Oreochromis niloticus: one gene and its partners. The protein of the gene in region 1 interacts with the protein of each later gene in a pairwise test. Links are inferred from orthologs where the notes say so. Each region holds a gene or a part of one and is shown on either strand. Other genes may lie near its edges. The genes, in order: agtrap, mief1, hscb and rmdn2.

Region 1 (7,125 bases):
TAATGTGAAATATGTGCTGTGGCTCCAAAAGGTTGGGAAACACTATTATACTATACATGTATTGGGAAAAGATTTTTCAGGCAAGCCATTACAAAAAGAGAAAAAGCCAAAATTTTGACTTATAATTTGGGACGGTTAGTATCCATATTGTAAGATAAAAATAACTCTCCAATAAAAGAAAGAATTAAATGTGAGTTAAACATATTTTAAAGTTTTTAAACTAATACAAGTGAATTTACTTAAGGCACCTGAGAAAAATGCTGCCAGGACTTCACCATACTGGAAAAGCTATACAATGGACTATATTACCTGCAGTTGATTGGCTGAGTGTTTGATCTAAGTTAAAATACCACTCAGTGCTAAGGAATCCTCCTTATCAATTACTTGTGCACCAGTCTTCTTGATAGGTCTTGGACATGAGTGAATATGACATTGGACTTTAATGTACACAAGGTAAAAGGCTCCCCTGTGGTTACATCCCAGGGTCTATAATTCCCACAGGTTCAGTACAGTGACAGAGTCCAGTACTGTCAAACTGTCAAACCAAAACCATTACTGTCAAAATTGTCAAAGAATAACAAACTGAAAAGCTAGTTTTTGCTCAAGATTCATCCCTTCATTGTAAACACCCAAAGCCTGAAGCCTTCAAAGGTGGACTTTAAGTTAAATATTATGCATCAGCATAAATGTATTTATGCAGTGAACACACAACTAAAATGTTCTGGGGCTGAAAAATGAAATCAGAGCTGAAGCTGAAGCACCAAAAGCTGCAGCCCCTGAGGTTGGCTTCACAGGCCACTCAGTTCCCATGCTAAAATGTCCAACGTTACAGCAGAAATGCATAAGCTGGCAGCTGGAAACTTTCTGACATCTGGTGTTGCTTAGTGTTCAGTCATACAAAAACACACTTGAGCAATATGCTATCGACTATCTCCGTTAAGAAAATGTTAATTTTAAGCCTGTTTTGTTGCAAGTCAGAATAAGCATCCCATTTAATATTACGCTTTATGGATGCACCTTGCTAACCAAACTAGCTAGCAATAGCTGGCAACGCCTCCTCACTGCCTGCTCATGTTAATTTGGTCAGATCTGACTTAAGATAGAAAAAAAAAATGAACACAGCCAAGGCCAGAAAGTGAAACTCAATCCAAAACTAAAGCCTTTAAAAACCACAACCCATTGTGGCCGTTTTCTACAGTCTATGAGAAGGGCTCAGTTCTTTTGCTGACCCACAGTCAGGATGAGGTACTAAATAGTTTTCTCTAACAGTCGAGAACAGCCAACTGCACCCATCTTTTCCTATCTGATAAAAGCTGTTCTTGCTTCAGAACACAATCAAAAAACAATTCTCAAGTCACACGTTTTTTTTTGTTTTTTTCCCCCTTAGTCAGCTGATGTCACTAATGTACAATGGAAACATCAGTCACGGGTTCAGAGTTACGGTATGATGAGGGTTAACATAAAACTGGTTAGTGTATAAGCAATTCTGAAACTTGGGTCAAACATTTAAAATAAAATGGCTCCTTAAGCAAATGTAAACCGTCTGAGGTCCTCAGCTACTGTACTGTGTGCTGAATTAAGGGAAGGCTATTTTTTAAAGGGATGCTCACAGAATGCCCTAGATTCCACAGACAAATAGGTTAGCACAGATATGCAGCACTGCGCCTAAAGTTGGACTACTTTATGTGTCACATGATGCCATAAGATCGCATGAAAAAGTGAAGGCAGACTCACCATGATCACTGCATCTACTGAGTCCCTCTGTGCAATCGCCCACACTCCAACTGCTAAAACACTAAGGTTCGCCAATGTGAAGGCCACTGGCGGCCACACCATACTCCCCCTGAAGGAAACACACAATTCATACGAGACAGATTCTTACACACTCCAGGAGAGTTACGTGCAGTTTCACAGAGGACGAGACATGTAGGTGAAAGAGTTGACCTGAATCAGGAGTATAAGCATGTGTCTGTGTGCCAAAAGAGGAGAGAAATTCCTCAGGTTTGTGGAAAAAAAGCCTGTGCTCATACTCACCAGACTGTAAGAAGCCAGTGCACCAGTACGATGGCCTGGAATAGAGAAGGACAAAAATGTGTTTACACTGAACTATCTATCACTCACACACCAGTTAAAAGCTTCAGATCATCAGCTAATCTATAGCAATGATTTCTTCTTTTTATTTAGCCCTCTAAGAAGACTGAAGTCATTGTTTTCAGCCCTGCCAAACTGCATTTTTTTTATACATATGATTTTCTTCAATTCTGTGAAACAAAGTAAAATTAATTGATTTGGAAAAAATGAATGAATGACTGAATCTTTTCTGCCGTTTTGAATACACTGCACGAATATAAAAAAATACACGATATTACACAAAACAGGATATTAGTTAGTGTTAGTGTCCTTCAAGCCTACTTTTGACATCACAGGTTTTATAATCCTTGAAAGAGCTGTCCAAAATTACATTTGAACCATTTTATTCTGTGGACAGAGCACAATGACACTTTTGTCCCTGTTCAGTTTCACAGTTAATCAAAGGCATCAGTTTATAATTTAATATTCCCTCCAAATTCACTGCATATGAGTTTTTAAAGTGTTTGCCAAAATACAGCGTTAGTGAAAATAAATGTTTATATGTTTAAATATTGACCTCTGTCAAAAGGCCTGCTGCCACTCACTCAAAAATGTCCTTCAGGGACCTTATCCCCTGAACATTACCTTAAACACTTCTTACTTAATAGCAAAAAGTAGAGCAGCAGTTTACTGTGATCTGAGTCACAAGCAGAGGAAGGTAGTTGCCACACAGAGGAATTACCACTGAGGAACAGAGCTGACATTTCATTGAAAACCAGCGTTTGTTTGAGCGTACAAGCCGAGGCAATCAGAAACGCAGCAAGTAAACCTCACCTTTAGATTTATGGCAGGGATTTCCATAATTGTCTGTTTGGACAAAGCAGCTCCTCCTTGATCCGATTCGGCGTTTCAACTTGTTAAAGAGCTACATGAAAAAGTACCGCAGTTTCTCTTCTTACACAAACTTCTGTCCAAACCCCTCCTCCCGTCGGCTCAGCCTTGCAAACACAAGCCATGTGACAGCAACCTGACTCGTTCCCATGTGACTCCTGCCCCTCTCACCCTCTCACCCCTTCCCCCAGCCCCTGGGGTGCGGTCCAATTGGCAAATTTGCTTAGGAAGGTTACTAACTAACTGAAGAGACCCGGAAATATGTGTGCGGCAGTCAGCCGCTTCCGTGCTTCTTGGATCACTTCCTTAAGCAGAACTTGAATTTAATAATTTAATAATAACTGTATATATTCTCTCTATATATTGAAATGACATTTCACTCGTGTTTTTAGTTTATATTCCCCGCATGGTAAACAGCATGGTAAAACCTATTAGGGTGAGGTAAGATGGGCATTCTGTAGTCCGTTTTCTGGACTTTGTAGTTTCAATACAGCAGACTTCCACATATTCCAGAGAACCTTGAAAAAAGAACTTTTCTTTGTGAGTTCCTGCCTCTTTGGGGCTAAAAGAGTACGGAGCCCCGCAGGGGACATGGGAGAAAAAAAAATTAAGACGGACTTTTGCGAGATCTCGCAAAACAAACTCGGGAGATCTCGCAAAAGTTCATCGTAATTTCTTTTTCTCCCATGTCCCCTGCGGGGCTCCGTAAAAAGAGGCCACCCAAACACACGAGATTTCAATTGAAAGTCCAGAATTTTCTTTATTACATCTTAGTAGAGTAGCTCAAATAAGTCAAAAGATATGGACCAAAAACTATTCTATTACACATTCTCGGGAGGATATAACTGTACTCAGATTCGCATCACACCCCTGTTCAGTTTTCCTAAGTGGCCTATCTAAAAGTATATTAATATTTAAAAAAAATCTGTGAAGTTTTCACTGCTGACAGAAAAAAATACAAGATTAATATTAAAAAAATTAAACGAGTAAAATTTTATTTAAGAGTTATTATTATTCTGTCAACTAAATATAAAGTGTGGTGATAGAGGTTGACTACCCAAGCACCCTGGGCTCCAAATAGTGAAGCTCTCTGATGCCTCTTTCATCCCTTACAAATGAGGCAAAGTGGCTTAGTCCACCCACTCTTGCAGATGCATTCACAGCACAGCTAATTTATTGTATTTTAGTAACTGCTAATCCACATCCCGAATCATGTCTTTACCCAGGTAAGGATAGAAAAAGGAAAAATATAAAAGAAATGCTTGGAGAACAAAGGTCAATGGAGGACAGCTAACAAGTTAAAAATGGTTTAGCTATCAGCGGTTGCTAAAGACAGAGAGCCATTGTCAGATGTGACACACTATTAAGTTTACTCAGCACGACTAAACAGCATGAAATGGATGGGCCTTAATATCAGAAACAGCCAGAGAGAGTGAACCAGCAGCCTCTCCAAAGAGGAACTCAATAAGTTTATTTCAGTCACTTGTATTCAAAGCAGTTTCAACAGAACATCAACAACGCTAATGTCAAGCAGCATTAAGCTTTATTGTAGGTTGGACCAGCTGTGACGTAATCGATGCACATTTTGAGGAAGCCTGTGTGTTTACAGCTCATGAAACAGAATACCACAATGACACTGCTTATTAAAAAAAGGAGTTTGGTAGTCACGTATATGCTGATAGATGTGTTTATTATTGTTTGCTACTTCTAATGAAACACTGTCAGGCAGCACATCAACATATCAGCATACACTCTTGCAGACGTTTTCATGCATTATTAAATCATCCAGTATCCACAAGACCATTAGACTGTCATAAAACTTTTGTGTTTGATAACATCAAAGGAGCACTAACAGACAGTAGTGTGAAAATGACTTTTAAAGGAAGTTGTGACTGAAGGAGTACTTTGAGCATTAGTTGCTACTTGCAGCAGATGGTGATGCCTGTTGTTTAAATAGATACTGGTACAATATATCCCCCCCCCCAAAAAAAACAACCTATAGCTACGTCACTGAGTTCTTAGTAAACACTTTTCTGATGATAATTGAGTCTTAATGAATACAACATGTGGACTCAATTCACAAGGATTTTCTTATTGCTAAATCAGATTTCAAAGTAGGCTAAAACTTTATTTAGTTCAACAACTGGAGGGAGAACACATGGAAATTTGGTATGGATTTATGGATCCCAGATTCCTGAAGACGTTTGGTGAAGTCCAATTAAATCACAGTCCGGTCAAAAGATCTTGCAGGTGCATTCCTATATTACCTTACACAGCTGGTGTGGAAAACGTTTTTCTTGTCTTTCAGTCCATAAGTATAGTTTTTAACAAAAACATATGTAATAGCCATAATCATATATCACCACAGAAACACTTACAGCATATAAAATATGTATAAGCAGTCTCGTCTGTCATCACACTGCCAAACGTACAGCTCCAGTGGATGAAAGCCAGGAGGTGCAGATGCTGTGACAGGCTGGCAACCTGTCAAGGGTTTACCCTGCCTCTTGCCCTCTGCCAGCTGTGATAGGCTCCACCCGCCATGACGGAAGAGAATCAGTGGATGGAGGTGCTGCTGAAAGCTGTAGAAATCATTCAAAACTGTGCTTGTCTGATTATTATATTATTTCAAAGGGTGAGAGCTCCTTGCCCTATGGGTCTTACTATTCTAAATGACCAGAATCATGAAGTATGTATCACTCGTTCCTTACGTGACTGCCATTTGCCTTCCTCACCGATGCCTGTGTGACATTATGTCCCTGGACTTTAGCACATTTAACCTTTGAGCTCGCTGTAAGTCACTGTGGATGAGAGCAGCTGCCGAACTTTTAAAATGTTAATATGAGATTCACTCTCTGTGATTTCTGTTCTGCAGTCTGACTCAGTCTTTGGCACTTCTGTGCCCTTTTCACTGAAGCGAGATTCATGGCCCAGTGTTGGCATATGGTCTCTGCACTATCCAGCATTAACCCTGACCCCACATGTGACCTCTGACCCCACATGTGACCTCTGACCCCTGTGGCAACACACAAATGAATTTTTCTCTTTGACTGAAAGATTAATTCTTTAAAAGCCTCCATAATTAAATGTAGCAGCCTTAACGTGCTGTCCTGAATGTGCTCGTGTATACATGTGTGTGAAAATGAGACTGCAGTGGGATAAACACACAAATGTTACACTTTGTAGTTTAACATCACAACTTTGTCCAGACAGATTCAGCACTCACAAAAAAACTAATATTTGAACTGAGCACAAATAATTTCTTTGATGTTTTGACAAGTGGAGGCAGATTTCGGACTAGCCCCATGTGACTTCTTTTCATTTCTTGCTCATCTATGTGCTCTAAGAAGTAACCTGATTTGGAAAAGTTCCCTTAAAATAGACACTGTGGGGGTTAATTAATTCAAGAAAGGTAAACATGCATTTGTTGTAGCTGCAGCCCTACTGGGATGTGGCTGTGTGTAATCTATCTTTTCTCTGGCTGTTGGCGAGGTTTCAACAGGGCACTCTACCAGAGCACTCTGACATAGGTAAATATAAAAAATACATGACTGTTGCTTTTATTTTGTGCCTGTAAATCAGGATAGCACGATCGTAGTTCAACTGAGATGGTGCTTAGGAAAGAAAAATCTGTGTTACTTTCTTCATCTAATGAAATATTGATATGGATAGATTTGCAGAGGCTTTGTGTAATTTGAACTGAATGTAATTTCTTGCACTTGCTCTAATGTGTCGTAAGCTTTGTGTTAAAGCATTCTGAGACTTAAGTGTAGCTGGCAGATTATCTTATTACATGAAGATAGATGGTGCTTCTTTCGTCCCTCAAAAATCTCCATATTAAGGAAAATGCTCTCTTTGAAACAGGCTTACATTACAAAGTGTATCGATCAAAGAGAGCCATTTAGTCTTCATCTTCATAAAGATTTTATCTTTTTTCCTTAAAACTCTGATATAAGATAATGAAAGAAAGGGACTAGTTAACTAACTTCTGGCCCAGTGGTGGAAGGGGATTAATTACATATTCTGAGCAACCCTGTTTCCAAGAAAGTTTAAAATATAAATAGGAGAAGGGGGATTTAAAAAAAACAAAAAACAAACAAAAACGAAGCCAAACATATGCTTAATTTGACTTTGATGCCAGAAACACTTAAGCATGATTCCCAC
Region 2 (8,006 bases), on another chromosome or scaffold:
GTGTACGGGCCTCTGCATGTAGAGGAGGCCATGACTAATCAAGAGAGCATGTGTTGCACAAGAGGGGATTATTCCATGCACATGTTTTTATTCCCTCAACCTCATCACAGCTCAGCGTTACCATTCAGGGGTGTGGTGGCTGTGCTGCAGCAGTTCTCAGCAGCCCCCCGGGATCAGACAGTGCACAGTAGAGGGTATACCCTAGCTCATCCACTTCTTGATCAGTCAGCTCACAAAACAAGTTCACTTTAGGGCTAAGGGCACACGGCAGCTTCCCAGCCTCCAAGTGCCCCACTAGCGCTCGTAGCAGCTGAAGGAAGCGGTCGGCCAGCGCTTCCTGGGTCCAGTCACCTTCTTTTTCGCTGAGCAACAGGATGGTATTAGTGAGCTGGCTGGAGTTGAGCCTGTGAAGGGCAGGGTTGAGCTTGCACACAGCCTTCGCCACTTTGAGGCAGGTGCATCGGCAGCCGCCATCCTCCTGATCTAGCGCCCTGAGCCGGGCCGTCTCGGCCACGCGGAAGCTCTGTCGCCACAGGTTTTCGTGGCGCTCTGCAGCAAACCGGTGCGGTTTGGCAATCAGTGAGGTTCCATCCTCCATCACGAGCAAAGGCAAGAAGTCCACATACAGCTTCCTGTCCGTCTCGTACTGTACCTCCAGAGTCAGCGTTTCGGCGGGAACCACGGGACGGATGATGTAGTCGAGGACACTCCCTATAGCTGGCCAGTTAATAGAACCTGCAACAAGCTTCTCAAAGACCTCAAGCACTGATTTCGGGGAGAGATAACCTCCGACCATGCATCGGTCCCAATAGCTGCTACTCCGAGGGAAATATTCCAAATTCTCCCTACGGACAAGCCAGAAACCTGGGACATTCATGATCGTGTCCTCTCCGGGGATGGACGACCACAGATTCTTCTCCAAGACAAGAGGCACCATGAGCTGGGCGTGGTCGGCTGTTACAACCTTGGAGGCAGAACAGGGGAGAATGGTTTCCAATTAAATGAATGTGTCATTATGAAAAAAATAATCCCCCATAATAAGTGCTCTTACCTGAAGGTCATCGTACAGACTGCCACTGAGGTACATCTCTCTGAGCGGCATGTCAGGCAGTTTGGCATGAAGAAACACTCTGAGCTCAGCACAGATGTCTAGCGCTGCCCTCCTGGCCATGGCCTGCTCCTCAGCAGGGATGTTGACATTATTTTGGTAGAATTCCCACAGGTGTTCTTGCAAAGACAGACGCATCCGGGCCCGCATCATATCTGACCGAGTGGCACCGCTCTTCCCCACAGCAGCTCGACCCACAGCCCTTCGCAGACAGTCTGGGGAGAAAATAAGTTAGAGATGAACTGTTTTAATAAGTGCAGCAGGATTTTGTGAGCTTTCCTCTTCTGCGGTTTCAGGGGGAAGCGATGGGTGTAATAGGATGGGAGTTTCACAGTATTGTTCTCTAAATATTTGAATATGACAGAGCTAAATCTACAAAGACTAACTTCACGGCCTTCTACAGTTTCTATAACGTTATGATTAAAGATCAGTATAAAACAGCTGGGTATCTAAACTTAAACGAGCCAGCACCCACTGTAAAGGAAGAGCAAGAATCCTCCAAACAGGCTGTCTGTTAGCAGATGAAAAAAAATAAAATAAAAAAAGATGAGAGCTGGCCGTTAGTCTACCTCATATATAAGTTATAAATTAAAGGACAATTTGTTTCCCCTCACCTGGTTCAAAAGCATGTGAAGAAGTGGGCAGAGACTGCAGCGACCTGCTAACTGTGGACTTCATGTCATGGTTTAAAACCCTCGGGGATGACCCCATCCAGGCAGGCTCCTCCCAGCTTCTCTTTCCTGTTTGCTCCATCTTTGTGGGGCTGGTGGGAGCACTTATGGCACGATCATACATCTGCACATAACATTCATTGTATTGGTATTCAGTTAGTTCCCCCCCACCCCACCCCACCCCACAGTGAGAGTACTCACTCTTTTGACGGCTAGTGTTGCAATGCCAAGCATGGCTGCCCCTCCCACCCCCAGCACAAGCTTGGCATTCGAAAGCATGAAGTCAATAGCTGTTCCAATCCCATTATCATCCTTCTTTCCTTTTCGGTCTCCGTTCACCCCCGCCATCCTGGCACTGGGAAAAAAATAATAAAAAGAGAAGTGGAGTCAGGCTGCCTAGGGTGGGAAGAGCCGAGAAATAAGTGGATAGCTCATCACCATGTGATCTTGTTTACATCACTACCTACAAACTAAACCATTACAAAGAATGTCTGTTTACTCCTGATGTTTTACGTGTAAACCCACCTGGAAGATGGACCTTCGGACAACCTTTAACCACCACCTGATGGCCCCTGATCCCCTTCCTCCTACATAAGCCCACCCAGTCGGCTGCTGAGAAAGAACCGGCCCCTTTTCAGGGCCTCCTCCTTATCTTCTGGGACCGTCAGTGCCTGGCAGCGGCGAAACTCGCGAGCCACGGCGCGGCGGTAGTAATTCCGGTCTGTGTACTGAAGGTGTCGGCCTGCCCGGAGCAGCGCCCTGTAGAGCTCCAGCACGGCACTGCGAGACCAGCTGCCCATCAGGGATCACACATGGAGAGGAGGGGGATACCCTTGCTCCTGTGCAAAGGGTGAGCACAAGGTAGATGATTAGAGGACTGACGTGACAGTTAGAAATGGCTTCATCCGTGTAAAAATCCAACCTTTAAAGTGTAAAACCAAACATGCCACACGCTGCAAAAAACACAGCTGCAGTGTCAGCTCAGACTGCCACGTTAGCCTCCGTGTAAACCTGACCAAGTAAACACAAAAGCTCGCAGTCTGCCCGTTTTCTAGCACAGGTTATGGGACTGTTTCATCAGCGAAAAGAAAGTGTTGCCGTGTTACATACCGAGGCTCACTAGTCTTTAGAAAATGGCTGGATCAACGGAAAGTCACATCTCTTTGTAGCACAACACGCTAACTAGCTGCCGAAGCAAGCGCTGACCTTACTTTCAGCCAGCTTTATGGACAAAATATGGTCGTTGAAACGTTGCGAGCGAGGCTAAACGAGCCACACAAAGACGCACAACAAAACAAATCGAAGGCACCTACTTTTCAGGAAAAAAAGGACCAAAGATCGTTTGTCTTCTGGGGGAAGCAGACCTCTGCTCTAACCGGGGGTCAGAGTCGATAGTGGAAACCGGAAACAAATAGTCTGCTATTCACACACTATATCCGGGTCAGTTTTTCGTGTTTTTTTTTTTTACGCTTTTATTTTGTATTGATGACATTGTATGTCAAATTACATTTTTAAGAAATTGTGCCTTAATTTCAATTAAATTTTATTTTATTCAAATAGCACCAAATCACAACAACAGGTGCTTTATAGCAGCGGTCCCCAACCCCGGGCCTCGGACCGGTACCGGTCCGTGAGTCGTTTGGTACAGGGCCGCGAGAGTTGAGGCTCAGGTGTGAAATGTATGATTTTCAGTGTTTTTATCGGTTTTCAGCGTTATTTTGTTATCGTTTTTATCGTTAACTCGGTTTTCCTGGGTCTTTTCATGTGTTATGAATAAATCTTCTTTTTTTCGGTACCGGTACTAGTTTTCTTTTGTTGTATTTATCCGCAACACCTTAAAGGCCGGTCCATGAAAATATTGTCGGGCATAAACCGGTCCGTGGCGCAAAAAAGGTTGGGGACCGCTACTTTATAGAGTAAGGTCAAGACACAACATTTATTTATTTATTTATTTGGTTGTTACTATGAATCTATATTGAAATAAAGTTATGGCTGATACCTGTATAGTACTGAGATCTGAACTGAAGTTCAAAAGGTTGATGTTTTTCAATTTTGTGTTTTCACTAATTTGCTGTGGTAATAGCAATCTCCAGACAAAACACTTTTTCTTAAACTTGATTTGGAAAAGGGTTATATATATGTCTGTTGTATCTAAACACGGGTACTGTAATGCACTGTATACTGGAGCTATTCAATCATTTCTTATCCAAAATGCTACCGTCACATTACTGACTGGGACAATAAAAGAGAGCTCACATCATGTTGGGAGGCTTTTTGTACATTACAGAATCGAGTATAAATTGGCACTGTTTGTGTTTCAAGTCTTAAATGGTCTCGCACCTGCAAATGTGGTGGATATGCATCCCGCAGTTAAAGCTAATTGCAAAAGGAGCCGATGCATTTGCAATTGTTGCACAAAAACTCTGGAATGACCCTCCAAAGAGACCCTGGACAAACATCAGCTGTGACTGTTTTTCAAAGATCTAAGCTGAAGATATACTTTTTCTTTCATAGTTTTCTTTCTTTCACACTAAACTGCTGATTCTGGAATTGTGTCTGGAGGATTGGTTGCTGTTTCATGTTAAAATTGTGAATGCATGTAGCATCATTTGTTGTCCAAGTGTCACTTATAATTCTAATACATTTCATTGGAAGGATGGATTAAAATTGACAAATAAATAAATATTTAATTAATATTAAAAGATGAAAACTGATACACTCAATTTTAATGCAATCAAGAAAGAACTTTCTGTAATTTTTCTCTATTGTGGAGAACAGTATATATATAATATAATATGTATGTGTATGTAAGACTTTATAAGAACATCAAAGTGATCATCTTTTTAGTTGCATCAACAAACATTTATTAAATCAACAATAAATCAAATAGCTCCCAGCAATGTGAGACTATTTGCAGTACCGGTGAATCCAACCAACTTGGCCAAATGACACTGAGGCAGTTGACGCTGTTATCATTTTAAACACTTGATATATATCAATAAATTATCTTAAACATAATTTCCTTAGGGATTATTAAAGTATTCTGATTTTGATTCTGATAAACTCCAATGGCCAGAAAACATATATCTCTTAGTCTCACAAAGAATGTAAATCTCTTATGAAAAGGGTCCACTGGATACATCAGTAATCCATACAAATCTGTCACTGAGATTTATTTTGGATCCAATAGTTCTTTTGAATATCGATACTATTGACTTGAAACATCAGTGAGTCACGATCCATTTGACCTCAGCAAAAACATTTACATACAAAGGTAATGCAATAGAAACAACAACAACAACAAACAAAAAAAATGACATCATGGAAAAAATATAAAGAAGTGACACTTAAAATTGTTTACAACATTTATGTAAAGTGGTCAATTTATCACTCAATTAAAATGTATTTACTTACTACAATTTAAACCCAGTAGATAATGATTTTGTCAACAGTGAGAATCAGTCTCATTACAAGAACATGTATACATAATTCATAGTCTATTAACGGTTCATGCATTTCCACACACATTAATGCTGTGATCTTACCACTCTACATTTAAATACATTTTTTTTACAGCTTCTGCTGGAGTTGTAAAAATTTTGCAGAGTATCAATGACCAGGTTGCACTAAGGGCTCTAAGAGATTTCTTCTGTCCAAGACATAGGAGGAAAATTCTAGTAATCTAGGACTGACTGAAACATTTTCATGGTACAAATCCACATGCATTGTAGCCATTTTTTCAAGTCAATTTCAATGGCTTGAAAAATGTGGAAAACCCATACTCAAGGCATGTACTTAACCCCTTTCATCCTGGGGATGATATGTATATCCCTGATATCATCATGCTGGAGCAACCAACACAAGTAGCGCTCAGTCCCCATACCCCATCCACTGGTGAGGAGTGGTTTCACTTGGCGCATGTTAATGTACCATTTATAAGATTGCTCTGACACTCCATGATGCCTCAGAGCCTCTTGCACCATCTCAGGAGTTGAATGGCGTTCACCAAGACCTACAGTCTCACCCAGCCCCAGCAAAAGGTCGGCAGCTTTGGCTTTGCGTTGCCCAGTGCCCTCCACATATGCTTGGTAGAATGGAACTCCCAGATGGTCCATCTCGGTCAGCCAGACAGCTCCACCATATTTCTCGATTAAAACCCGCTCTCCTTTACGTGTTAACTTTCTGCCAAAATTGGGCTGACCATCTTGGACCCACTCTAAACAGTCAGCAGAGGGCATCATGGGGATGGCCTGGTCTAGAGGTACTCTTGAAAGTCCGGTTTTTCCCTCCAGCTTACTGAGCAGAGCTGTGACATGTGTAAGGGTCCCAGCAGTGTTCAGGATTATATCTGAGTGTTTCTTCAACATGGACTTGGTGAGATGAACCAAGTATCCCTCTGCTATGGACATTGCTTTGTCCATGTCACCCAGCAGTTCACACTCCACATGATAGAACTGGTTCAAGTGTGTGGCATCAGGATCTTCCCCTCTGAAGCTGGGAGATATGTAGTAGGTCCCTGGCAGGTTTTCCTGGAAGCGAAGGAAGTATTCCAGTACAAATTGCATTGAGTCAGCAAGGTACACACCCTGGCCCAGCAGATTGACAGAAACTGGCTCTGAGTCAGAACCCAGGCCCATTGGTGAGGAGATGGTGTCAGTGGTGAGAGGTGTCAGAGCATATGAGTACTGGCAGGAACTGTTGAAGTATTCCACTGTGCTGTGGAAAAGAGTGTTCTGGATCTTAAAAAGGTTTCGATACCACTGGCTCTTGATGGCTGCCATGGAGTGAGACTCAGGATCTGTCCAGGAACGAGCAGGCTTGCACTGGGTAATTTTCAAGTGGATGGTTTTGAGGGTTTCAGAGTCAGCGGGTGGGCCATTCAGTGATGAAACATATCCAGGGTAGCTTTGGAAGCATTCTGTTTGCAGCTCAGCAGGTTTAGTGCCATCTGGTGAAGGTAACAGAGGGATCAACTTGGCATGAGCATAGTCGATCTCAAATCCCTCAAAGATCAGTGCAACACTTGGAGCTTTCATCCCCTCTTCCAGCAGTCGGGCAACTTTGTAAGTGGCCAAGATCAGTGCTGTGTAGTCAGGTTCCTTCAGTTTGAAGATGTCACTGGACAGAGGTTTGCGTGGCACCACAACAGTTAGACCAGGACTGTTTGGATAAGGTGTCAAAAAGGCAACATACTCAGTGTCTTCCCACACTCTCCACTGTTGCTGCTCCCCTCGAACAATGCGACTGAACAGGTTGTCATTGGATAGGTCTCCCAAAAAATCAAAGCAAAAAGGTACATTTGGTGTTGGCAGTGCACTTCTAATCTTATCTTGAACCCGAGCCAGTGCTTCATCATCCCAACGTGGACCACTTTTTGAGGTGCAATAGCCAGGATTATAAGCGTGGAACTCTTCTTCACTAGCAAGATGGGGCTGCCATTTTGGCTCTAAGCCATGAAGAGGGAGGAGTCTGATTTGTGCTGGCTGACCAGGAGTTGGATTGAATACCAAGGCACAACGTTGCACTCCCAGTCGCTCACATAGCAAGTTTGAGACAACTCGTGCTCCTTGTAGCATAGCAACAAAATCAGCTGTAGCTAAGTGGAAGATGCTGCTTGCCCCACTAAGAGTTTTTCTAGTCAGAATTGTTGCTCCAGGGATCCAGGGTTTGGGATTCAGGTAAGCAACAAGCTCATCTGTTTCCCAGATAACATTAGGAGGATCTATCAGGGGTCTGAGGACCTCTACTCGTGAAATGCCACAAATCATTGATGCCACAAAGATCACACCAGCATTGGTCTCAATGACGGCATCACCTTTGGCGTCCACAGCAATGATTCCAGCACAGATCCCCTTCAGATCTTCAGCTATCACTTCTCTGCATGCTTCCCTAAGGCTGTGGGCTTTATGATGGTATAGACTTGCTATTTTCTGAGCAACTGTGTTCCTCAAAAAAACATCCCCATCTCCAGAGCAGGTAATGGCTAACTTGTCATCAGCATATATACCTGCTCCTACTACTGCTGTGTCCCCAACTCGCCCTTTCAGCTTTCCTACCAACCCGCCTGTAGAGGTTGCAGCAGCCAATCCATTCCAGCGATCCAAGGCCACAGCACCAACTGTCTGTGGATGATTGTTTTTGGAGTTTTTTCCACTACTGAGTTTTGCAGTTAACTCTCTGTGACGTACATCAGTATAGAAATACTCAGGACCAACAAGCTTTTGCTT
Region 3 (7,691 bases), on another chromosome or scaffold:
TACGTGGACAAAAATTCTCTTCTGATGACTGCCTGAAGTCCAAAAAACATGGACATCACCAAATGCTGTTTCTCCCATTGAGACCCTCTGCTAGTCTTAACTACTCACTTCCTGCTTGTTTGTACGTCTCTCCCTTCCATTTTATCTTCATTTAATGAAAAGCATGCTCTTCTATGTTGAGATCAGGTGACTCACTTGGCCATTGAAGAATCTCCCATTCTTTTGCCTTGAGAAGTTCTTGGGTTGCATTTGCACTATGTTTATCTGTTATCTGTTAGATGCTTGATCAGTAAACACTTGTGGGGCATATTATGTTCCTTCCAGTAACACTGCGTCTACCATGTTTGGCAGATGACGAGCCATTTCTCTTCCTATTATGACTTCCTTGTTCTTGAGTGTAACCAGTGTTTTGCATCTTGTTGTAAACCCATTCATGAGGGCATCTCTTGATTGTAGACTTTGACAATGATATTGCTAGATATAACAAAAGCGGTTTTCTTACCAAGTAAAGAGATCTACCATCTACTATAGTTGCCTTCCATGGTCCATCAAGGCTTTTGGTGTTGTTCAGCTGGCCAGTGCTTTTCTAATTTTTCATTTTCTTTTTTGAGTATTATGGTGACCCTATTTACTTGCAGCAATCTGACATCATATTAAGAACTCCAGTGAAAATCTACTAGATATTAGTTCAAAACTTTGAATGAATGTCAGATATTATATCTACTTAAAGTTTCATAAAATACACAAGGAATCAACCTCACCCTCACCATGACTGTGATTGTCAATCAACTGTCCAATTACTTATGAGCATCTGAAAATGCCAAAGCAGGTAATGCAATACTTTGTATTAAACCCATTGAATCAAAGTTGAAAGTTGAAAGGTGTCATTTTAACAGTTTTAAACATCTAAAATCTACCTTGGTGGTGCACAGAGGCCAAATTAAAAAGACTGACATTGACTGAATACCGATGGAACTTCCTTAGTGTAATTAGAGTTTATATGGTAAATGTATAGCGCTTTACTAGTCCCTAAGGACCCCAAGGCACTTTACACATCCAGTCATCCACCCATTCACACACTGGTGATGGCAAGCTACATCGTAGCCACAGCCACCCTGGGGCGCACTGACAGAGGCAAGGCTGCCGGACACTGGCGCCACCGGGCCCTCTGACCACCACCAGTAGGCAACGGGTGAAGTGTCTTGCCCAAAGACACAACGACCGAGACTGTCCAAGCCGGGGGTCGAACCGGCAACCTTCTGATTACAAGGCGAACTCCCAACTCTTGAGCCACGATCGCCCCATATAATGGGTCAATATACACAAACACAATCAGGACTGTTTTCACAATTAAATAATTGTTTCAGTGATCTTATTAAGCCAAACCGTCCAAATTTATTTGACTAATTAAGAAAATACTCAGCATATAAAACATCTTAATAGTCACAAGATCTTACCCCCTTTTTTCACTTTATTATTTTCAGGGGAACAATCTCAGCTACTTACTTTTCCTAATCTATCCAAATAAACTCCTAAGTCACAATTTAGCAGCTTGTGATCAAACCTTTTATCCTGGTGGGAGTTAGAAAGTGTCCATGCATAAGGCAAGATGAGTAATTGAATGAAAACTTCTAAACCAAAGTTAACTTTTGCTTTCTTAACCTGTATAAATATTTAATATATTTAATATACCTCTGTTTTTATTATTTTAGATTTTGCAGTTATAATGTAAAATGTTTTGGAAAGCAGGTCCTAGTAGGCACTTTTACATTTCACAGCAGGAAAGGCACAAGTGTAATTATCAACATAAATAACATAAACTCATGTTGGCTTACTGGAGTTGCCTCCTGGTTTTCATAGCTGAAATAAGCAGCCATGAATCTCTTCACATACACTGATGCAATTCAACATGTAAAGCTGTTTATATTACTAGACTGTCCATTTATACACTACCCCCCCCCGGCCCCCTTTTTATACCCCTTTTGTATTTTTCCCTGAGAAGCAAATGCTTGTTCATCTACACTGCTATTTAGTTTCAATTCCTTAAACTTGCTTCCTATGCCTTGAGCTTGCTTGGTAGCTTAACACAAACCAAGTTCCCTAACCAGGCCCTACATTTGTCAGTGTCTTTTAACAAGCCCATCTTTCTTACTTTGCCCAGAGTTACTCCCATGGCCAAGTCACAATGAATTATCATGACAAAACAAAAATGCACACACAAGTGGACAAATGGGGACAAGGGGTCAGACCCAATTTCCTGTGTCACAGGGCAACTAATAGAAAGGAAAGTGTTCTCTGACTCATAGACCATCTCACTCAGCAGATCTCTATTCCCCTTACATTCCCCCTCCCTACCATAGATTTCTGGCTGAAGTTGTCTGGATGAAGAGACCGCTGGAGCTGCAAGTATGTTTTCTGCAGCTTTTGTGTGTCCAGTGTGAATGTGTAGTCACTGAAAAAGGTAACACATGATAAAATGAATAGACTGGATTCATTTGGAAAGCTTTTTAAGATGGTGACATATGTTAAGGTAAACAAGAAACTCACCAATCCATGATCTTGAAGTAGGATGTCCCTTCTACAGGGGGCTGCACTGCTTTGCATGACACGCAGAAAAATGCAGGTCTTTTGTCAAGAAGATGCTTACAGTTCCAGCAGTTCAATTTAATTTGACTTGTGCAGCAATTCCTGGGTGAAGCGGATTGATTAGTGAAGTAAAACAGCTCTCTCTCCTTTCTGAGTGCTCTGAAGTTCATGTTGCTGTGCCATGTGCCCCTCCTGTGGAGGCTGGTAGACATACTGTAAGCTGTACATGTAACAGCTTTAGAAACAAGCAATCGGTTGGTGGTTAGCCAGCTTGGGTGCAGTACAGCCCGGGATGAGCCAACAATCCTCAAAGAGTTGACAGACAACATTTCTGGAATTAAAATGCACTACTCGCTGTCGTGCACTCAATAAATACACAAAATGTTCACTGTCAAAACACATCTCTTTCCGGAAAAACAAACGAAGAAGAGCGTTCTTCTTCTACGTTTTGTAACACTGTCACACTGCCGCCGCTCGGTGGGTTTCGAGTTCTTGATGGAAAACCAACAGCTAGCTGGCAACAGCAAACGCAATTTGTGAGGAACTATTGATAAAGTAGCCTTAGTTTTGGACGCAGCACACCAATTGAAGTAAGCTGAACACCTCACAAAATGTTCAGTGTTTGTTAGTAGTGTACTAGTGTCGTTTTAGGTGCGGCTTTTGCCGAGGATGTAACGATAACAAGAACCCCTGGTCTGCATGTAGCTAGCTTAGCTCACTAGCTGAACAGTATAGCTTAGTTTGCGAACATGTCTTAACAACAAAAAGCCTTTATTCGTGGTCGGTACTGACAAATAAGCTGGTTGTTGTCAGATTCCAGTTCACGGCCTTAAAAACAGCGTTTCATGTTATTTAAGGGCACATGTGAAGAAAAAAAGCACCCGGGTTTAACTTTATGTTGAGTAGCTTGCTCAGCTAGCTGGATGACAAAGGCATCCCATGTTATGGTTGAGCGGTGACAAAAACAAATTCAAACTAGCTTATTTTTATTATTATTTTAAATAATCACCCATTTAAGAAGCATCAGCTTAAAACATCACTTAATGCACGCTTGCGTAACTTTAATTGCCTTTTTCAGAAAGTCTAGAAAACTGCATTTTCATACCAATTGGGTTGTTTTGTTTTTTTCTTTCAGATTCAACTGCATTCTGACAAAAGAGGCAATGCTTCATGAAGAGTTCTGGATACTCAGTGAGTGGCTAGTCCGCCAAGGACATCATCAGGCACTGGAGCACAGATAACACCTCCAAACTTGTGAGTATTTTATTGACTAAGAGTACTTGTTGCTGCTTCATCGTCCAAGAGTACTTGTTGCTGCTTCATCGTCCATCCATACAGGCGGTCGCAATACAACAGCTGCTAGCTGTGTGAAGAAAAAAAATTCTCTGAACACTGGCCAGTGTAAATATGCTTATTTGGCCAAGAATCAGACTAGGCGTCTCGACTATTTGTCATTACAGTTTCCTACCAAAGTACAAGCTCTGTGATGAATGCCAGGTCTTCATTCTTGGTGTGTGTGTGTGTGTGTGTGTGTGTGTGTGTGTGTGTGTGTGTGTTTTTGGGAGGGTGCAAAAGCTGACTGTAGAGTATTCCAGAGAGACACTTGTTGGAGACAGCAGCTTCTATAAGGTAAACAGGATCTCTTCCTGAAGGTCGAGGGAGGTACTTCTCAAGGCCCCCACAGACAATACTCTGGGTATTATTAACGGAAACCGCTAAGAATAGAGAGCAGGGGAGCAAGGTGGCTCCTCTGGCGGTCACGTTGTTTGGGTTAAACAAGCCAAAACGGAACATCTTCTTAAGAAGAGTGACTTCTCGAGCTTTCATGCTGGGTGTGGCAATTTAGAGGGCTTTATCTGGCTCTGATGTACAGCAGAGGTAAGGGAGATTAGTTGTGGATTGCTCTTGGCTGTTTATGTATGGAGGACTTGTGCTTTACAATTGGAATTTGTAAGTAAAACAAATTTTCATACCTAATAGGACATTGTTAACCTATCATTTTACATAAGCTATGTATTATGTGACTTTTTTTTCAATTTAAAAATAATAGTTTTGGCTTGTCCAGCAATATCCCCCAGACAATGCATTACCTACCTACTAAAGGAAAGAGTCTCTGTATGTTTTTGTGTCTGTTTACTCAAACATTCATCATAAGGAAGGTGATATATCCTAGTATTGGGACAAAATTTTCCTGCAATGCATTTTTGTACAAATTGCAAATGAATAAATAAATGAATACATACATGTATGTATTTACTCAGACATACATGTTTGAGTAATCATGTCTGGTATGTCATTACTTGTGTTTCATAAGTTTGTCAGTTATATTTGGATGATGAATTGATTTTGTGTTAATCAGCTGACTTCACTTTGTGTGATCTAAAATTTTTGAGGAGATATTACTTTTTATTGGAGTTTGACTAATCTATTCATGTTTCTTCTTTCTGAAGGAAAAATTATATCAGACAGTATATTGGAATTGGATCGGATTTTTTTGAATCACCAAATATTGGTATTAGTATTAGTACAACCAATACAAAGCTAATAGCAAAGAAATCAGAACGATGTTAAATGATAATTCAAAGGATTTAATAAAAAGTGTTGGATTACCTGTTTTGGCATTTTCAGATGCTCGCAAGTTACTCCTTTAACGATGTTAAAGGAGTAATTAGCAGTCGGGCTTATAACGCTATAGCCTCCAAAGTAGCATTGCTTTGGCTACAGCATTTTTCTCTTTGGATCCTATTTGGGCTGGCTTAATTATCTTTACTGTCACCTTTGTGTTAATACCTACATACTAAAAGAAACATCTTGAGTGTGCCCTTGTTAGAGTATGGGTTTGTGGCATTTTGTGGGACTGTAGCATAAGGTTTATGTTGTTAACTCATGGTAATGTGACAGTGTACATTATGTCATACCACCTTGTTAATAATGCAAAAGTTATATAATGAGCAGTGTAAGGAATTCCTTTCTTCAGCGAGTAAATATGTAACAAAGTGAATTCATTTTTAATTTTGGTGACTGTATCCACAGCAGCTTAGTAAGGCTGTCTGCGTGTATCTTCCATCCAATTTGAAATTGTCTCACATGCTGGATTATGAGCAACTCCACTATCTGTTATATCACCACAGTTGTGATGTAAAAACGAATGAGTAATGAAAGTCGAGTTTCTGTTTAATTATTTAGCAATGGTTATTACATTAACATGTGTATGTGCTTTGTTCAGTGAACGTATTCATGGCCACCCCACCATAAGAACAATTTAAATCTGTGGGTAACTGTTCAAAATTCACATTTTGAGGTTGGTTACACACTTAAATGATAAATGAACTGGAACTTATATGGTGCTTTTCTACTCAATTTGAACACTCAGAATGCTTTCTTTCAACAAGTCTCATTCACTCAAGCACATGCACATCCATACAGCACTTTTTATCTAATGTAAAAAGCATGAGTGAGTGGGCAACTTGTATTCAGTGTGTTTTCCTTTAGCAATACTGTTTTCCCCTAAAATAAGTCATTTTGTGACTTACTCATGCTTCGTAAATTACATTCCACATACAATTAAATTAAAATGTTTCTGAACTTGAGTGCCAAAATCTTTTAATATGCATTGAAAACCCTGCTTCATTAATTGGCTACATTACTTGTAGAGGCCGAAAACCCCATGTTAAACAGATGGATGAATCTCATGTTGTCTGATCACTGTATTATTGTAGGGTCTTTATCTTACAATGTAAATTGCCTTGAGGTGGCTGCTGTTGTGCCTGTTTTAGTTTTGGTACTCAGATTTTGTGTTATAATTGGCATCAGAATAGAGAAGTGGAATTTATGTATTATTACTGCTGACGAACAGTAATAATACAACCTCTCACGATTAACAAGTGTGAAATTACTGCCTGCCTAACTTAGTCATTTATCACGTTTACACCTTGCATACATATTGAAGGCAGCTGTTTCTTTGCCTGTATTTTTTTTTCTTAACATAGGCAGCCCATTAATACTTCACCTTAATCTTGTAGGAGTAACTTAAGATGCAGATAAATTTAATTTATATTTTATTGATTGCCATTTGGCCCTAACATTTGAAATGACTTGTCTGGTATGACAGTCCTTTGAAAGCAAGATTAATTGAGCCTGCTTAACAATAGGTAAATCAATAACATGGTAGTCCACCAAGTAAAGTTAAACACCAAAGTCTTTGTCACAATCGCTATTCATTACTCCTGACAGCCTTCAAATTAACCATGGTCAGCGTTCTGATGTGTGCCCTTGTTAGTTAGAATTATAGTATTGATTTTTCTGCTAGGTTTTTTGTCGTCGTTTAGGCAAAGGTTGCTTAAGCACTACAGGGAAGGAGTGTTTAATTTGTAAACAGACATTTCTGTATTGTTCTGATGTTTGACAGGGGTCTTTAATTCAATACATCACTGTCTACATTCTCTACGTTCCCACAGATAAACCATGATCCCCATCACCGAGCTGCGGTACTTTGTGGACACACAGCCAGCATACCGCATCCTGAAACCTTGGTGGGATGTCTTCACCGACTATATCTCTATTGTCATGCTCATGATTTCTGTTTTTGGGGGAACACTGCAGGTCACCCAGGACAAGATGATCTGCTTGCCCTGCAAATGGGTGGTCAATGAAACCTGCAAGAAGAACTTCAATTCAAGCATCACATCATCAGTGCCCAAAGGGATCCAGTATGATTTGGACCGCCACCAGTACAATTATGTTGATGCTGTCTGCTATGAAAATACATTGCACTGGTTTGCCAAGTATTTCCCCTACCTAGTATTACTCCACACCCTTATTTTTCTAGCTTGCAGCAACTTTTGGTTTAAGTTTCCACGGACTAGCTCCAAACTAGAACACTTTGTATCTATCTTGCTAAAATGCTTCGATTCTCCGTGGACAACAAGGGCACTATCAGAGACAGTGGTTGAGGAAAGTGACCCAAAACCAATGAAAATGAATGGCTCGATGGACCACAAGGAATCTGTAATAAGTGAGGATGTTGAAGCAAGTGTTCCTATGCTTCAAAGGACAAAATCACGCTTTGAGCAGGGCATTGTAGATAGAACGGAAACAGGAGTTTT
Region 4 (7,122 bases), on another chromosome or scaffold:
TTTCCACATCCTTAAATAAAAATGATGGAAAATATTGAAAATTTTCCATGATATTATTTTTTTCCACCATGCTAACAGAGAAAAAAAAAGCCCTTTCACTCACATGTGTCCCATGACTTGCATGAATGATCAGTGTCTGAAAGGAGCATTGTCAACACTGATTTCAATATGTACTTACTTCTTGCAGAAAGATTTGCCTGCACAGGGTGTACTTAAAGTGAAGCAAGGACACAACAGCGAGAGTTTAGCCATACGGGAAACAACACTCTCCTGTTTGGATAATAGGCTAGACTTTGCTTCTTTAAGACAAATGATCATGGCATTTAAATTCACATTTCACCTCCGACCAGCTTCAGCTTTTGAATTCTTTTTGATTAACGAAACACTCGATATAAAACACATAAAACGAGACTGTGCCAGCACTGAAAATTTCTGACATTAGTCAGCAAGTGTTTACAAAGACATATGCTAGTAGTGGCTAGCCTCAGATAATTGGATCAACACATAATCTTCAAGGGAGCGTGTCAGCCAGCAGTCAAACAGCAGCTACTACAGCCTGAGCACATTGAGAAATGTAAAAGCTATCACGGTTTTCCTTAGCAGTACCCTATGAGATACCACAGCTTCACTAAGAAGCTATCAGTGTTAATTAGCTTACAATTTAATGAAGTTATGCTGCTAGTCGCCAGTTACCAAACGATGTTCCAACGTTAAAAACAGAGCAACACGCTAACGTCACACAGATACAAAAACATAAACTGATCGCTTTCAGTAACAGAGAATCATCTCGAGGTCTTACATAAACAAAATGTATGTAAAAGTAATGAAAGGTGACATTAATATACACCTTACTGTAAGGTAAGGAAGGAGGCACTTGTCGGCTTGACAGCTGTCTGGTGCGACAGCAAAAACATTCCGTGCTGGCTCAGGCGCCGAAAGGAAGAGTTCCGGTTATGTGCCCAAAAAAAGTGATTGCTGATGGTTCTGTGTACTTATGTCTAATATATTTGGTTATACTGGTAAATGGAATGCTGTCGACGGGTTTACGAATGGGTTACATATATATATATATATATATATATATATATAAAATAAAAAATAATAATAAAGAAAGCCCGTTTTGCAATGATCTTTGTCACTCTGCGCTATTCTGCCTTATCTGTGTTCTATATTATAATGTATCCAGTCCTTTTTGGCCACTTCAGATATTTAATGTATAGTTGTTAAGATATTTCTGCTGCCACAAGATTTCTCTTGAAAATCCCATTTTAAATTTCAATGAGACATTTCTTAAATTATTAATTCATTTATTTATTTATTGATCCATCCATTTTCTTAACCTCTTATTCTGAGGGGACAGAAGGCTCTCATGGCCTAGCTGTCATAGGGTGATAAGCAAGATACACCCTGCACAGGTCACTAATCCATCACAGGCCCACTAATGACATGTCTAGTAGAAAGAAAACTCCAAATTTACATTAGATCTGCTTGCCTGTCTGTATTTAAGCCATTCATAAAAACAATCCTCTCTACCCTCTACCCTCAGTGCACAGGAAACTTTATTTTGTTAGTTACTGATTTCTTTTGAGTATGTTCATTTGGGAGAAGCAAGGGTGTAGGAGCCACTGCTTCTATTTCACCAGGCAGAATATGGGTGGACTATTTCAGTTACTCCACTGATGCAGCTAAAACCCTGTTGGCTGTCAAATATGCTTATCTGTGCTACACTGTGCTTACATGCATAGAGCACACTGTGACTTTGATGGAAGAGACTTCTCAGGCTCCAGCTCAAATTTTAACAGTTCTAATACTGCTTACTGTCTAGTGTGCAAAAGCATTGATCTAGCCCTGTCTTATTTTTTATTTTTCTTCCCAAGAGACAGACTATATTGTTTTGAAGGCTCTCCAGATTTTCTAAAGGGCTTTCAAAGTTTTCACATAATGGAACACTATCAACCATGGATTGGCTGAGTACAGAACAAAAGGCAGCAAACACGTAAAGAAGAGCTTTGACATCTTTCAAGAATCCTGGAAAACTATTTCTGAAGAATAACAAATGAACAGAAAGATTGCATAACAGGCTGTGCTGACTTACATACAATTTCCCAATAAAGTATAAAGAAAATAGGGTTGACTAAAGATTTTTGCACATTGCTGTATATTCAGCTGAATATGTGCTCACATATGCCCTATGTGGCAGTACAGGCCTGCACTCTAACAGAACAAAACAAATCAAAGAACATGGCTTTTCCTATCTTCCAACTATCTCTGTGAAACATGTCCTTCATGTTGATAAAGTGAGCTTTGATATGAAATGGATAACGCACAAACAACATCCTTATATGCCATTCAGATTTTTTTTCTTCTTGTTGCACTCCAATGTTTGCACTGCAATCACCTTTTTTTAATTTTACTTGTTGCATCTGTCAATTTATTTTTCAGTTTTTAAACATTCCTTGCTTAAATTTTTTCTCAACTTGGCGTCAACATGCGAGTTAATAATCAGGCACCAAGTGATCAAGGTCCACTACAATAGCAAATGTACCAGAACTGCATTTAGAAAACACAGATAATAACTGCTTCAAAATGTTATGTTCTTTACAATTTGCATCTCAGGTCGACTGTTTCCAGTCTCATATCCATGTTTTACCGTACATATCTTTCTTCTTATGTCTCTAACGAAAGTGCAAAGCAAACTTTGTCATCTAACTAGTTTTTAAAAATCCTTTTATGTAAAACTAGTAGCAATTATTCTGAAATAATAAGCGCAAACAATGACTCACCGCTGTGTATGCTTCACTCACACAAGTGTCTCTCTGCAGTGAGCCTGAGCAGAATGTCCTCCAGGATTTAAAAAGCTGCTAAGCACATGTATTATCACTGCATAAACCTTGGACCTGCACTCTGCAATCATGGAACTGTCCTTACAGGGTCTGATTAAACAGAGAAGCACTAAAGCATTAAAAAAATGATCTTCAAGCATATCAAGCTTTATCTGATAGAGTTTCCCTAGTTATCTAGTTATCAACATATATCATGTCCAATATAAATCCCCAAAAAGGTGACTTTAAAAATGGCAAAGGCCAAAAATCATTGAGTTTTCTATTTTTTTTAATCATCCTTTTCTGTTTATTTACATTACTGTTAGATGATCTTCTTCTTCCTTCATGCTTTTTTAAATCTGCACATAAAGACAAGTTCATGATTAATGGTTTGAAAAACATTTCATTCAGGGGAGGGAAAAAAAACAACCAACAACCACAATGTCCTTGATGACCTTACGAGTGGCTGAGTTACATAAATGACTTCTTTCTAAGATGACTGTGTTTATTTGATTTGGAAGATGAACATGAGATCTCTAAATGGATGTTTCCTTTACCCTATAGAGAGGGAGGTAAGCACACTTTCTCGAAAACAGGGGTAATGAGGAGTTCCCTTGCATAATATGCCGTGGGAATCGCTACGTGCAGTTTCTTCCTTGCTCTCTGAACGCTGTATTGTTCCTTAGCCCACAGCCTGCATTCAGTTACCACAGGGAACAAAAAGCCCACCTGAAACCCAGAGGCATGGTGGTGCAAAAAGGAGAAGAAAAAAAAACAAAGCTTGGCCTGCAGCTCTGGGTTGGCCCCACAGATGAAGATATGGCGATAAGAGAGGCGCACCCAGCTATGGCCTTGCTCCCGTCGGGTCAAAGCTTGGAGATGAGCAGATATTGTCAACAATTTTGTTTTATCCACTCAGCACGCATCTGCCAAAACGTTCATATCGCACAGCCCCAGAATTGCTTTTGTGCACAGACAGAAGCCCATTACAGCTGTCAAACAATATGTGGGAGAAGAATCCTGCTGAAATAAGGCATCACTATCAGAACTGCACACACAAACCAGAGTGTGAAGCCTCATTGTTCCCTGTCGGTCTTGTAGTAGGAGTGTTCATGTGCATGACATGCCTACCTCAGTGGGAGGAAAAACTTCTGTATCAGTTGCGTGCCGTGTTAACAGATAGTTTAAAGACTCATTCAGCCATGAAGATGTGGCTACTGTTGTGTAACAGAATGCACAACATCGCGTTCGTGAGGAGCTGGGGAAGTCTAACTCATAGGTCTGCACTCGCACTACCTGATGACTATCTCAGCTGCAAGCACTCAGTGTTCTTATCCTCAGGTCTGCCAAGAGTCTCAGCTGTACTGAATTAATGTGTGCATCCCCCAAGGTTAGAAGACCAACAAAAATCAACACAAACCTATGAGAGGTCCCCTCACAGCAGTTTTTACTGAAAAATCTTCTCTGATGAGATAACTCTGTTTGCCTCTAAGTGATCTGTAGTTGCATCGCAGTTAAACTGAAATTCATCCTGCTGAGAGACAAGTCTGTAAGTCACGGTCCTGCTTGTGCGGGGGCTTATGCTACGGTGTCCGGCAGGTTAACTGGGTTAACCCAAATTAGTTTTTCAGGCTTCATCTGTGGATGAAACATACTATGACCTAATGCTTATGAATATTTTTCCAAGAAGTGATCCCAGTTTAAAAGTATTCAGTCTGCAATAGTGGCTTCCAACTGCGGCATTAATCAGCAGCATGAATAGCATTCCTGCATGTTTGCATGGCGAGCTGTCTTCCCTTTTCCCATTGCCAAATGAATCAGTGTCCGTTTCCTACATCATTTTGGCTTGAGCTGTAAAAGTATGCGCAAGTAATAACTATTTTTCTAACTGAATGCAGTCAAAGTATAGACTGTAATAGAGATTAAGTGAACATTAAGTGGCCTTGAACTTCTGTCTCCTCATCATTTTCAAATTAATCATCTCTTCTTGCATTAATTTTTTTTATGCTCTCTTTTTTTCTGTATGGCAGGTTAACCATAACCCCAGCAGTTTTATGTCGATGTGGTATGCACATTAACATAAAATCCCCAGTCTGTTTTTTTCTTTTATTGTTTGATTGGATCCCTCATAAGCTGATAAAATATGTAAAACTGCCACACAAGACATGACAAGCACAAAACCTTGTAATAAAGCAAATGTAAAAAGAAAATAAAAATGATAATAATAACAAAAAGATAGCAAAAATAAGTAACTAGAAGTAATTTTTTGTGTTAGTGATAAATGACCTGCTCTTTTTAACTAAAAGTCTTGGAGGAGATTAAAGGACTGCAGCAGTGTTTAGTCTCAAGAGTCAACAGAAACACAGTTTTAAAAATGTTAATTCATTGTATATTCAATTATCTTCAGACAAAATGAGTATTTCAGCTGTTTCCTGTTATTTTCTTCCCTAAAAATATTTCTTGGTAGAAACGTAGGTTCAACAGGAAACATCATCATCTTCCTCGTCTAATCAAAATCCTGTTCCCTTCTCTGACGGTCACTGCACCATGATGTGGCAAACAGAAATAAATACACTCTATGTTCTGAAACAAAAACGATTGTAATTACCAAACCCAAAACTGTAAACATATTCTACTGAAGCCAGAATATATTTGCATCCTCTTCCAGGTTCAGAAGTGAGATCCACCCAGGTCAAGTTTGTTAATGGTGACCCTGTTAGAGGATTAGCCTGTTAAAGCTTGAAATATGAAATAATTGCCAGAAAATTCTAGTTTTTTTGAAAATTAAAAATTTATTGAGCCATCTGACAAAATTGTTTAAATTTTTAATTTACATACATGACTTTTAATTTGTAATTTATTTGCTACATCTGGCGGCTTGTGTTTTAATTGCTTAAAATGCACTTTATTCAGCTTTTTCAGGGGGGAAAAAAATCACACTACTGATGTAGACATCTAAACAACTGAAACAAACCTGTATGTATCAAATATGACACACTAGGCGTTAAGAGGTTAGGGCACTGTCTTTACTTACCTGACTTGTCTGTGCTGTGCATGTCTTATATTAAGCGAAGTCACTTTCGATAGCACTCACCACTCCATAATGTGTCAGATTGTTGCTTAAAGACTATATAAATCATCAATATGAGACCAAAAGGTAAACGTGTTACAGTTGTTTTATTAACTACACTAATTTTCTAATTCATGTACGTTTTGCAGTGTTTCATATTGGTTATGAAGTGAATTAGCTTGCGTTGCACGGATTTCCATCCTGGCCATTTATTTGGTCCAATGGCCTCTAATCTGATTGTTTTAAAATTCAACCAACTGCAGCTTTAAGAGGGATTTTGGGGTTAACAAGTTATGAATTCTAGGAAAACCTAAGACAGGCCGATTGCATCGAGAGACCTCTCTGTGACTTTTGATTGCGTAGTTTAATGATTTCTTCCTTCCTTGTATCCTCCCCTGAAGTGACAATCAGTCATGCAATCGGACACTGAGCATTCCTCCAGAAGGAGATACACATCACTCGCAAATTTGTGGGCCAGATTTCTCTTGAGATTTTTGTCCACAACAATAAAAATGTTTATCTACTCAAAACATGGAGTACTTGGTAAGACTACATGATTGCCTAACAGCGCAGCCAAATACAACACCAGCACATAGCTGTCCTTGAACTTTGATCAAACCTCCCTGTCCTCTCCATTTACTATGTAAACACACAAGGTCATGACACTTATCTTCTGAGAGATTAATGCACTCTATCAACAACATTTCAGCTGTCAGTATTTTAAATTTATGTATAAAGGTCATCCTGTGCTGTAAAGGGGAAAAATATGATGTTAATTATTTATCTCATTGAAATTACTCTGCATGTATGTAGTAAGCTAAAATTCAGTAGTAAAATGAAAGTGAAAGTGCTTTTTTTTCTCTTTTTTATATGTAGGCAAGATGTGGCCAGAAGGTGGCGCCTAAAGAATTAGTGTTGAGATGCACCAGATGGACGAGCTGTGGATGAGGAGCACTGTCAGGACTGGATATTTGATGCAATGCAATGAGGACACATTGCTCATCCTCAGCATCCTCAGCAAGTCTTTATTTTAATAGAACAAACTAAGTTTCATCACTAGTCTGCTGACTGAGACACAACAGCCCTGTGTTGCTGAGAAGAGAATAAGTCCAAGATCAAGATAATCTGCTCTTAAACACAGCCTACAGTTGATGTCGACAGCTCCAGACACATTATCCAGTCAGCATTTGTGCATGTCAAGGTGAGTACAGTGTGAGTCATATCTAACTG

What was found.
Region 2: the proteins of agtrap (region 1) and mief1 interact in binary tests that used the Homo sapiens proteins (3 or more experiments, as listed by UniProt). The two-hybrid records come from large-scale screens. The link is inferred for Oreochromis niloticus from reciprocal best matches to the Homo sapiens genes AGTRAP and MIEF1.
Region 3: the proteins of agtrap (region 1) and hscb interact in binary tests that used the Homo sapiens proteins (3 or more experiments, as listed by UniProt). The two-hybrid records come from large-scale screens. The link is inferred for Oreochromis niloticus from reciprocal best matches to the Homo sapiens genes AGTRAP and HSCB.
Region 4: the proteins of agtrap (region 1) and rmdn2 interact in binary tests that used the Homo sapiens proteins (3 or more experiments, as listed by UniProt). The two-hybrid records come from large-scale screens. The link is inferred for Oreochromis niloticus from reciprocal best matches to the Homo sapiens genes AGTRAP and RMDN2.

What each region holds. Positions count from the first base shown.
Region 1 is NC_031970.2:11,712,373-11,719,497, forward strand, and holds the start of agtrap (type-1 angiotensin II receptor-associated protein), read right to left. Parts: upstream 3,231-7,125; 5' UTR 2,932-3,230; coding exon 2,905-2,931; intron 2,070-2,904; coding exon 2,035-2,069; intron 1,844-2,034; coding exon 1,735-1,843; intron 1-1,734. UniProt on the Homo sapiens protein: Appears to be a negative regulator of type-1 angiotensin II receptor-mediated signaling by regulating receptor internalization as well as mechanism of receptor desensitization such as phosphorylation.
Region 2 is NC_031969.2:10,814,979-10,822,984, reverse strand, and holds the start of mief1 (mitochondrial dynamics protein MID51), read right to left. Parts: upstream 3,215-8,006; 5' UTR 3,093-3,214; intron 3,069-3,092; exon of another isoform or gene 2,890-3,068; intron 2,619-2,889; 5' UTR 2,305-2,618; intron 2,135-2,304; 5' UTR 2,128-2,134; coding exon 1,981-2,127; intron 1,904-1,980; coding exon 1,723-1,903; intron 1,324-1,722; coding exon 1,052-1,323; intron 965-1,051; coding exon 125-964; 3' UTR 1-124. Other genes in the region: uncharacterized protein LOC100705581, read right to left, coding at 5,562-8,006. UniProt on the Homo sapiens protein: Mitochondrial outer membrane protein which regulates mitochondrial fission/fusion dynamics.
Region 3 is NC_031977.2:29,298,698-29,306,388, reverse strand, and holds the start of hscb (iron-sulfur cluster co-chaperone protein HscB), read right to left. Parts: upstream 3,055-7,691; 5' UTR 2,916-3,054; coding exon 2,548-2,915; intron 2,453-2,547; coding exon 2,356-2,452; intron 1-2,355. Other genes in the region: lrrc8ab (volume-regulated anion channel subunit LRRC8A), read left to right, coding at 7,051-7,691.
Region 4 is NC_031978.2:26,001,927-26,009,048, forward strand, and holds the start of rmdn2 (regulator of microtubule dynamics protein 2), read right to left. Parts: upstream 3,072-7,122; 5' UTR 2,784-3,071; intron 986-2,783; exon of another isoform or gene 848-985; intron 760-847; exon of another isoform or gene 659-759; intron 1-658.